Linked DNA regions of Danio rerio. Each later gene encodes a partner of the first gene's protein in a complex. Links are inferred from orthologs where the notes say so. Each region holds a gene or a part of one and is shown on either strand. Other genes may lie near its edges.

What was found.
Region 2: the proteins of tacr1a (region 1) and tac1 are in contact, whole or in part, in a cryo-EM structure (PDB 7P02), measured with the Homo sapiens proteins. The link is inferred for Danio rerio from reciprocal best matches to the Homo sapiens genes TACR1 and TAC1. Residues at the interface, in NP_001049.1 of Homo sapiens: Gln24, Phe25, Asn85, Asn89, Tyr92, Ala93, Asn96, Trp98, His108, Asn109, Ile113, Gln165, Met174, Arg177, Val179, Cys180, Met181, Ile182, His197, Val200, Phe264, Phe267, Phe268, Tyr278, Leu279, Ile283, Gln284, Tyr287, Met291; in NP_003173.1 of Homo sapiens: Lys60, Pro61, Gln62, Gln63, Phe64, Phe65, Gly66, Leu67, Met68.

The regions. Positions count from the first base shown.
Region 1 is NC_133180.1:28,782,630-28,786,143, forward strand, and holds part of tacr1a (tachykinin receptor 1a), read left to right. Parts: intron 1-1,659; exon of another isoform or gene 1,660-1,697; coding exon 1,698-1,892; intron 1,893-2,253; exon of another isoform or gene 2,254-2,389; intron 2,390-3,514. UniProt on the Homo sapiens protein: This is a receptor for the tachykinin neuropeptide substance P. It is probably associated with G proteins that activate a phosphatidylinositol-calcium second messenger system.
Region 2 is NC_133194.1:28,062,667-28,066,738, forward strand, and holds the start of tac1 (protachykinin-1 precursor), read left to right. Parts: upstream 1-1,266; 5' UTR 1,267-1,444; coding exon 1,445-1,558; intron 1,559-2,454; coding exon 2,455-2,557; intron 2,558-2,669; coding exon 2,670-2,693; intron 2,694-3,707; coding exon 3,708-3,764; intron 3,765-4,072. UniProt on the Homo sapiens protein: Tachykinins are active peptides which excite neurons, evoke behavioral responses, are potent vasodilators and secretagogues, and contract (directly or indirectly) many smooth muscles.

The sequences.
Region 1 (3,514 bases):
GCAAGATAGAGGCAAGAGATTTAGAATGCAGAATTGATGACATTTGGGTACATTCTGTTTCAACACCAAAAATAAAAATGGGGACATTATTATAAACAATGGCTTAGAGTTCTGAATATTATACATCGCTCAGAACTATGTAATAACTCCAGGATAATGTACACTCTCATAATGCAATTGCATTGCAGAAGTTTACTTCACATTAATTGTCAGGGTATGGGACGTAAGGCAGATGCTCTGCCATTCATCTTCTGTTATATTCTCACTTACATCTTGACACCATGCCAAAACACATTACTTTCCTGGCAGTTAACGGAAAACAGTCTATTAAATGAACACATTTCAAAAGTACATGTATTCATCATTTTCAGAATTATTAATATTTGTTTATTTTAATAGAGTGTTATTTAAAGTCCACATGAACCAGAAGCTGCAACTTTTTTTTTTTTTTTGTATTGTGACGCAATACTTAGAAAAACTGAATATTAAATAAGCTAATGCTGAGTTCAGACTGCATGATTTCAGCCCTGATTTTGACTGGCCGACAGGTTTTGAGAAATCGTTGTCAAATGCCTGAAATCACAGGCAAATCAATGCTGGTTTACGTGAGTGTCAATCACACAGAGTGAACTTTTGAGTACGCAATCTGAGAGAATCGTTGATGAGTCGCAGACACCCGTGAGATATTTGGCATGCTAATATCTGGAGCTGTCGTTGATTCAAAATCATGCCGTGTGAAATGTATTCTGTTTGAAAATAACATTGCGATGACCTACAGCCAATCCACTGCAACCACTAGTATGGGTATCTGCAGGCCAACGGGAGGTTGGGAATAAGTTAAAAATATTTATTTCAGTCTATTTGAACCCAAGAAATGGGGTAAAAACTAGTTTAAATATGGCAGGAGCACCCGTGTCTGTTTGACGTATCATCTGAGCAATACCACAACCAGGTTGAAAAAGAAAAAAGTTAAGGAGAAATTGCCAATTCCCTTCAAAAGTCAGGTGAGCAAAATAAGTACGTTACACCCTATTAAAGGCTTCTTTCTCAGTATGTAGTTTATGACAAAAGATATACTGCGTGACCTCACGTTGTTTCCATGTCACTTCCTGTGTGTGCTTGGCTGTGAGCCGTAGTTTGTGAACTGAGTTGTTGATGATTCCTATTGTAAAGTCATGTAGTGTGAAACCTGTTGTCGATCCATTTTACTGTGTAAACAAAGCAGCCACAAAACGCTACCCCAGATAGTCATAGAGTGTGAAAACATCTGTGACATGTCTACTTCGTGCAGTCTGATCTCGGCATAACAGTGGGAGTGGCTTGTTTTTCTACTGCGAGCTGATTGGATGTAGTACAGTAGGCATTTCATTCAGAAAGATGGGGAAAAGGGTTTTAGAAGAGTTACCTAACAGGCGAATTCTCCTCATCACTTCTGTTTGTTGTCAAAACTGACAGTTGGAGGGGCGTTAAATATCTTAACCACGCCCTATACCTCAAAATCATGAAATTTGGGAATTAAACATTTTTAAGATTTTAATTTTGCATTACAGGAGCATTCTTTTTCTTAATGACATAGATGATTTGTTCACCACAAAACTGTCAATGTCAAAATCATATAGATGACAAAACCATTTAAGCTTAAGTTGAAGCACAAAATACCTGAATATCCAACAGATGTAATGTGTGTCCTCCAACAGATATATGGCCATCATTCACCCCCTGCAGCAGAGGATGTCTGCGACACAGACAAAGGTGGTGATCGGGGTCATCTGGATCCTGGCTCTTCTGCTGGCCTTCCCCCAATACTACTACTCCGACACTGACCAGCTGCCCGGCAGGGTGGTCTGCTACATCGACTGGCCCGAGTACACTCTCCTGGACTTCAAAACAATGTAAACATCTCTATTACACTCAAAAGAATACTTCTGCTGCTTGTTCAAACTAATTATACAAAATTAGTTAAAACAACACAATTTTCAAGGTTTTTTTTCATTATTTTATGTTAAATCCACTTAATTTTTTTTAAAATAATTGATTTATGTTAGGACAACATGAAGTAATTGCGTGGAACCCAGCATTTTGACTTTGTATGATATGTTTGTTTTTTTATAATAACCCATGCCACCATTTGCAGATATTGGAAAAATATTTAGGTTGAGTATTTGTTTTTCAGATTTATGTCTGCAGGGTACAGAGAATTTCCTCTCCAGATCAAATTTCACCCATATTTTCGGATATTGCTGGAAATATTACCTTTATGACTCTCTAATTTGGAGTAATCAAAAATCAGCTCTGCTTGTTTTCTCCCCCCGTAAGTGTTTACTTATATAACGACAGAGAGGAGCTTCTTCATTACAAAGAAAACATTAAACACAGGAAAGTCGTGATCCTGAGAGAGAAAAAGAGAATAGGAAAAAGTGCAAGCCTATTAAAACCAACATAATTGGAAATCTTGCCTAAGGGTGAATGCAATGACTTTACAAGAGCAAACGCTAATGACTGTTGCTTCTAAAGAAATCTAAAGTATATATTCTCTAAAAGTTTGCCTGTGTTTGCAAGCTGATTTTTATCTTAGGTGCTTTGAAAATGGTGCATCAATCTGTCAGACAGTCTAGTCTGATATTAGCCAAGATTATTGTACAAAAAAGATTTGGTTGGGGTCACACTGCTTTTAAATGCAGAGAGGACAGATGTTGGGGAGGGTGTACAGATGTGCTGGTTGTGATGTCACAAAACCGCTTAACTCATGAAATCTGATTATACAAATAACTCTGCTAAGCAATCACATAGACGATATGCCATGGAGTGATCTGAATATCAGGTACCTACACTGAAGAATTTGCTCATTTTGAAGTTAAAACTTGACTGTACACTAACAGTCTTAAGTTGTTGTTTTTTTTTTGTTAAGGGTTTTCCTCTTTTGTTCACAAAGGCTAAATATATATGATCAACAATATGGTTAAAAACTTACAAAGTTTTATATTTTTACAAATAAAAATTTTAAGCAGTCATTGATCAAGTCTATTAATCTATTAATTAATCAAATAATCAATTGCTCACTGTCACTTGTTCTAACTCATTCCATATGCTGACTTGCTTTTACAGATTTTTGTGAAAAGTAAGTATATGAAATGACAGAATTTATTTCAGTTTGAAATCTTTTGTAATATTATACAAACCTTTTGAATCTTTATGGAGTTTTTTTTTTTTTTTTGTCTTTTTCATTTATTTTTTGCGATCATTTTAAAAGGCAAACAATATAAATTCTGGCAAAGGTGCTTTTTTATTTATTTTGAATACTTTGAATATTTAATTTGAATAATATTATAATATTTTGAATAGTTAGTATTTTACCCTTATTTTTTTCATAAACTATTTAACACTTTTTTTATTGCTTTCAAAAACAGTTAACAATAGAGTACAGAAACTTACAATGTGCAAAATACATTTTAAAGAAGGGTGAAAGAAAAAATAAAATAAAATTGAACAAAGTAAAAAACTAAAAAAGACCTGA
Region 2 (4,072 bases), on another chromosome or scaffold:
TGATTAATTGATTGAATAGTTAATCTCACAAGCTTTTTAAAGAGAAGTTTGTTTATGAATATGCATGCCTATTAACAAACTATTGAAGTATAAAAACTTCACCTTTTTAATCTGAATGGGAAAGGTTAATGCAAGTCAAAGTTATTCATTTAATTTGACAACATTTTACAATAACACAAATACTAGTTTTTTGTTGTTTTGTTAAGTATGCAGATTAAACATGGACTGTTCTTGAATAGAGTTAGGAAGTCAAACATATTCAGTTAAATTGATTTAATCAACCTTTCAAATTAGGTAAACACTAGTTCTATTTTTGTATTTGGCGTCACGGTGGCGCATTGGGTACCACGATCGCCTCACAGCAAGAGGGGTCCTGGGTCAGTTGGCATCTCTGTGTGGAGTTGGCATGTTCTCCCCGTATTCGAGTGGGTTCTCTCAGGGTGCTCCGGTTTCCCCCACAGTCCAAAGACACGTGGTATAGTGAATTAGGTATGCTAAATTATATTTATTAAAATTAAAATAGTCCGTAGTGTATGTGTGTAATTGAGAGTGCGTTTCCCATAGATGGATTACAGCTGGAAGGGCATCCGCTGAGTAAAACATATGCTGAATAAGTTAGCGGTTCGTTGCGCTGTGGTGACCCCAGATTGAATTAATTGAAATGAAATGAATTGTTAATTAATTTTTGTTGTTATTTGACATGGGTAAAATAATTTCAAAGAATTGCTTAAAGAGGTTACTGTAACAAAATGTTTTGATTTACGGTATAAACAATTTTTGAAAGTGCTAAAACATATTTTATGTGCGTTATTATTGTTACGACTGACTTTTTACCAAAATAAGAACCCAAAACATCATCCTTGTTTAAGCCCTCTACAATCCCATTCCTAAACCCTTTGTGAGTTGCTCACCTCCTCTGACGTAAAAGAAGTCTTAAACAGGTCATCTGCATTCATATTTACTCAGCTGTAGACGGAACTTCGTAAAACCTTCGTCGTTCGCCAGTCATAACGTCACCTGTGTGCAGTTTACATACTGATCAGCTCACGACATAAAGGCACGGACTTCCCAAACAGGGACCATCTAAACTTTAGTTACTTCCTCTACCCGACGCGAACGAAATATTAAAGAGGAAAGCTATTAGTCATTGTGCCTTTTTAAAGCAATCTGACTAAAACATTTATTTGTTTTATTGATTTGAAGCGTCGCAAGGAACCTGTCACCTCCCTGTTGCTTTGCTATAAAGTCGAGCGCGCGAGCCAGAACGGTCACGGAGACGCGCATCGTACGCGCGCATTGAAGAACTGTGTTATATGTGGAGGAAACTGTTCACGTACAGCTGACAGAAGAACACCGTTCAACATACTCGAACAAAACGACGTTTAGCTTGCGTTTTATACTTTAAAGTGCTTTAAAGGAAAAAGGGAAAGTTACTGGGAGCAACATGAAATTTATTTTACCGACTGTAGTCATTTTTGTTGTTTTGTGTCAAGTTTTTGGAGAGGAATTGGGTCCAAAAGAAGACCTTGATTACTGGACAGGCAACAATCAGATACAGGTGAGTTTTGAAATCTCTAATGTTGTATAAAAAAGTCTTGCAGATCAAAAAAAACCTACTGGATTTATTTAACATGCTTAGGGGTGGATTTAAAGATTAGTAGGCTAATAAAAAAATATACAAAAATGTTCTATTCATGTCTATATATTTATTAATAACTATTAAAACGATATAAAAATCGTATTTTATTTTATTATGTTGATTAAATAATGTTATTGTCATAATAACAATTGCAACAAAGTTAGTGACATTTCACATGTAGCAAATTTAATTTATATTTTGTTTTAAATAAATGGTTTACCATTTATTATTGAATTACTGTGAAATATTTTGTTTACTGTGACATTTTACATTTACAACTACAATTATTTGTTATTATTGATTTATAGCCACAAATTCAGAACTAAAGAGTATCTGTAAACATTATAAATTCTAACATACCCCATGAATGTAACATACCTAATTAAAATGTAATGTAATACATGTTATATTCATAATGTTAATTTTAAATGAAAAATAAGTATGAGATGTTTGTATCAGTTTTCATTGGGTTTTCAGTTAGTCTGGATTCAAACACAAAGCATGCAGGTCGCTGTCCAGTGCTGAATCAGTCAATGCTCTTATGGCTTGTTTGAATGGAACACACGTTTCTCATTTGACATTGCGGGTTGGAAGACAGCCAAGCACTTATATCTTAGGCTTTTTGTCTCCATAAACTGCATCTTTGCAAATAGCCTGCGCTGTAAATGATTTCTGTGTTTAAAATCTGTAATAAAAAATACTATCATTTGGTCAACTCTCTATTGGGATGAACTGAAGGGTACAATTTGTGTCAGAAACTGCTGCTATTTCATGCTGGAGGTCTAACGTTCCACTAATCAAATCATCTTTCGCAGGATGAGTGGATTCAGTCGGATCCTTTCAGGGAGATACTGAGACGCATGACGAGGAAACCCCGACCTCATCAGTTCATCGGTCTGATGGGGAAACGGTCCTCTGGTAAGACCACACATGCAAACTGTAAAATATTCAGATATTAAATAAAATGCGTCACATTTTAACAGCGCTTTGACCTATAACTGACATCTCTTTCATTCTTCCACCCCCACAGCAAATGCACAGATCACACGGAAAAGTAAGTGATCTATGCAAAAACACTTCACTGCATTTATTATTTGTTAAATGCTCACATTTGCCTAAAAGCAAAGACACTTCAAGAGAGATTTACATATACAATCATGCAAAGACATATTCATGATAGAAGAAAGGAGACTTTCAGCCTTGATCGTTTAAACAAGCTCAATGATAAAATGGAAGAGTTAGAGATACATGATTCCTCTTAATGGAAGCTCACATCCTCAAGGTCAATTTCGCAGAAGAAGAAACAAATGTAAAGACATTAAATCCTTGAACTGCACTCTAGACTTAAACAATATCACAGAACTGAGCGGAGCAGATTACTTACAAATTGCAGTCTGTCCCTGATTACAATTTACATGATGGAAATTATAGTCAGTAATGCAGAGTAGATTTTTGGTCATGTGTTTTGACAATAATTACTTGACATTACTGGATTACTTGAAGAATAAGTGTGGCCTAAATTGTTCTGAATGGGATTATTGTTATAAGAAACTATGAAATATATTCCAGTCTTTGTGTTTAATGTTACAAAACATTTCCCAAACTCAAATAAATTAAGAAACTGTATATGATTTATGAGTTAATTAAGTGTTATTAATTAATTACATCATAAAAAGTGTTAAATTAAAACATGGAAACTTCCAATTTTGTATTATTATTTAGTTTACCTTCATGTTAGTACCAATATATTGCTGATCCTCAAAACTAAACGTCATCACAAACTGTAAGCGTACATTTCTGGAATTTTAAAATTTTCTATTGGTCAATATAAGATAAACCAATCATAACTACAGCATAAATAATCTATAATGATGTAATCTATAAAAAAAATAACTAATTTTTGATACATTTTGAAAAAAATAACGCTACACATTTGGAATACAATATATGTATGTATATATATGTATGTATATATATATATATATATATATATATATATATATATATATATATATATATATATATATATATATATAAAATTTGTTTTTTTACCCTAATTGTCTTCTAGGGCATAAAATCAATTCTTTTGTGGGGCTGATGGGTAAAAGAAGCCAAGAAGAGCCAGGTAAGAACTGCTAAACCTTTTTATTTTGTTTCAGAATATAATTGTTTGGGTAGTTTAATAAAAACATCAATAAACATACAGTGCTCTACAGCATATATAGAGTACACCCCTCACAGATCTAAATTTTACATTCAAATTTTTTATAGGAAGCTATACACTCTTATATTTGTGAATATACATTAGATTAGTCATTACTAAAGCCAAATCTGGAGCTTATCTAACTAAATGATTCACGATAACGGTCCAAAAACTAGTACACCCAAATTCATATGCTATAGAAAAATATTAAATACAAATGTAAAAAAAGA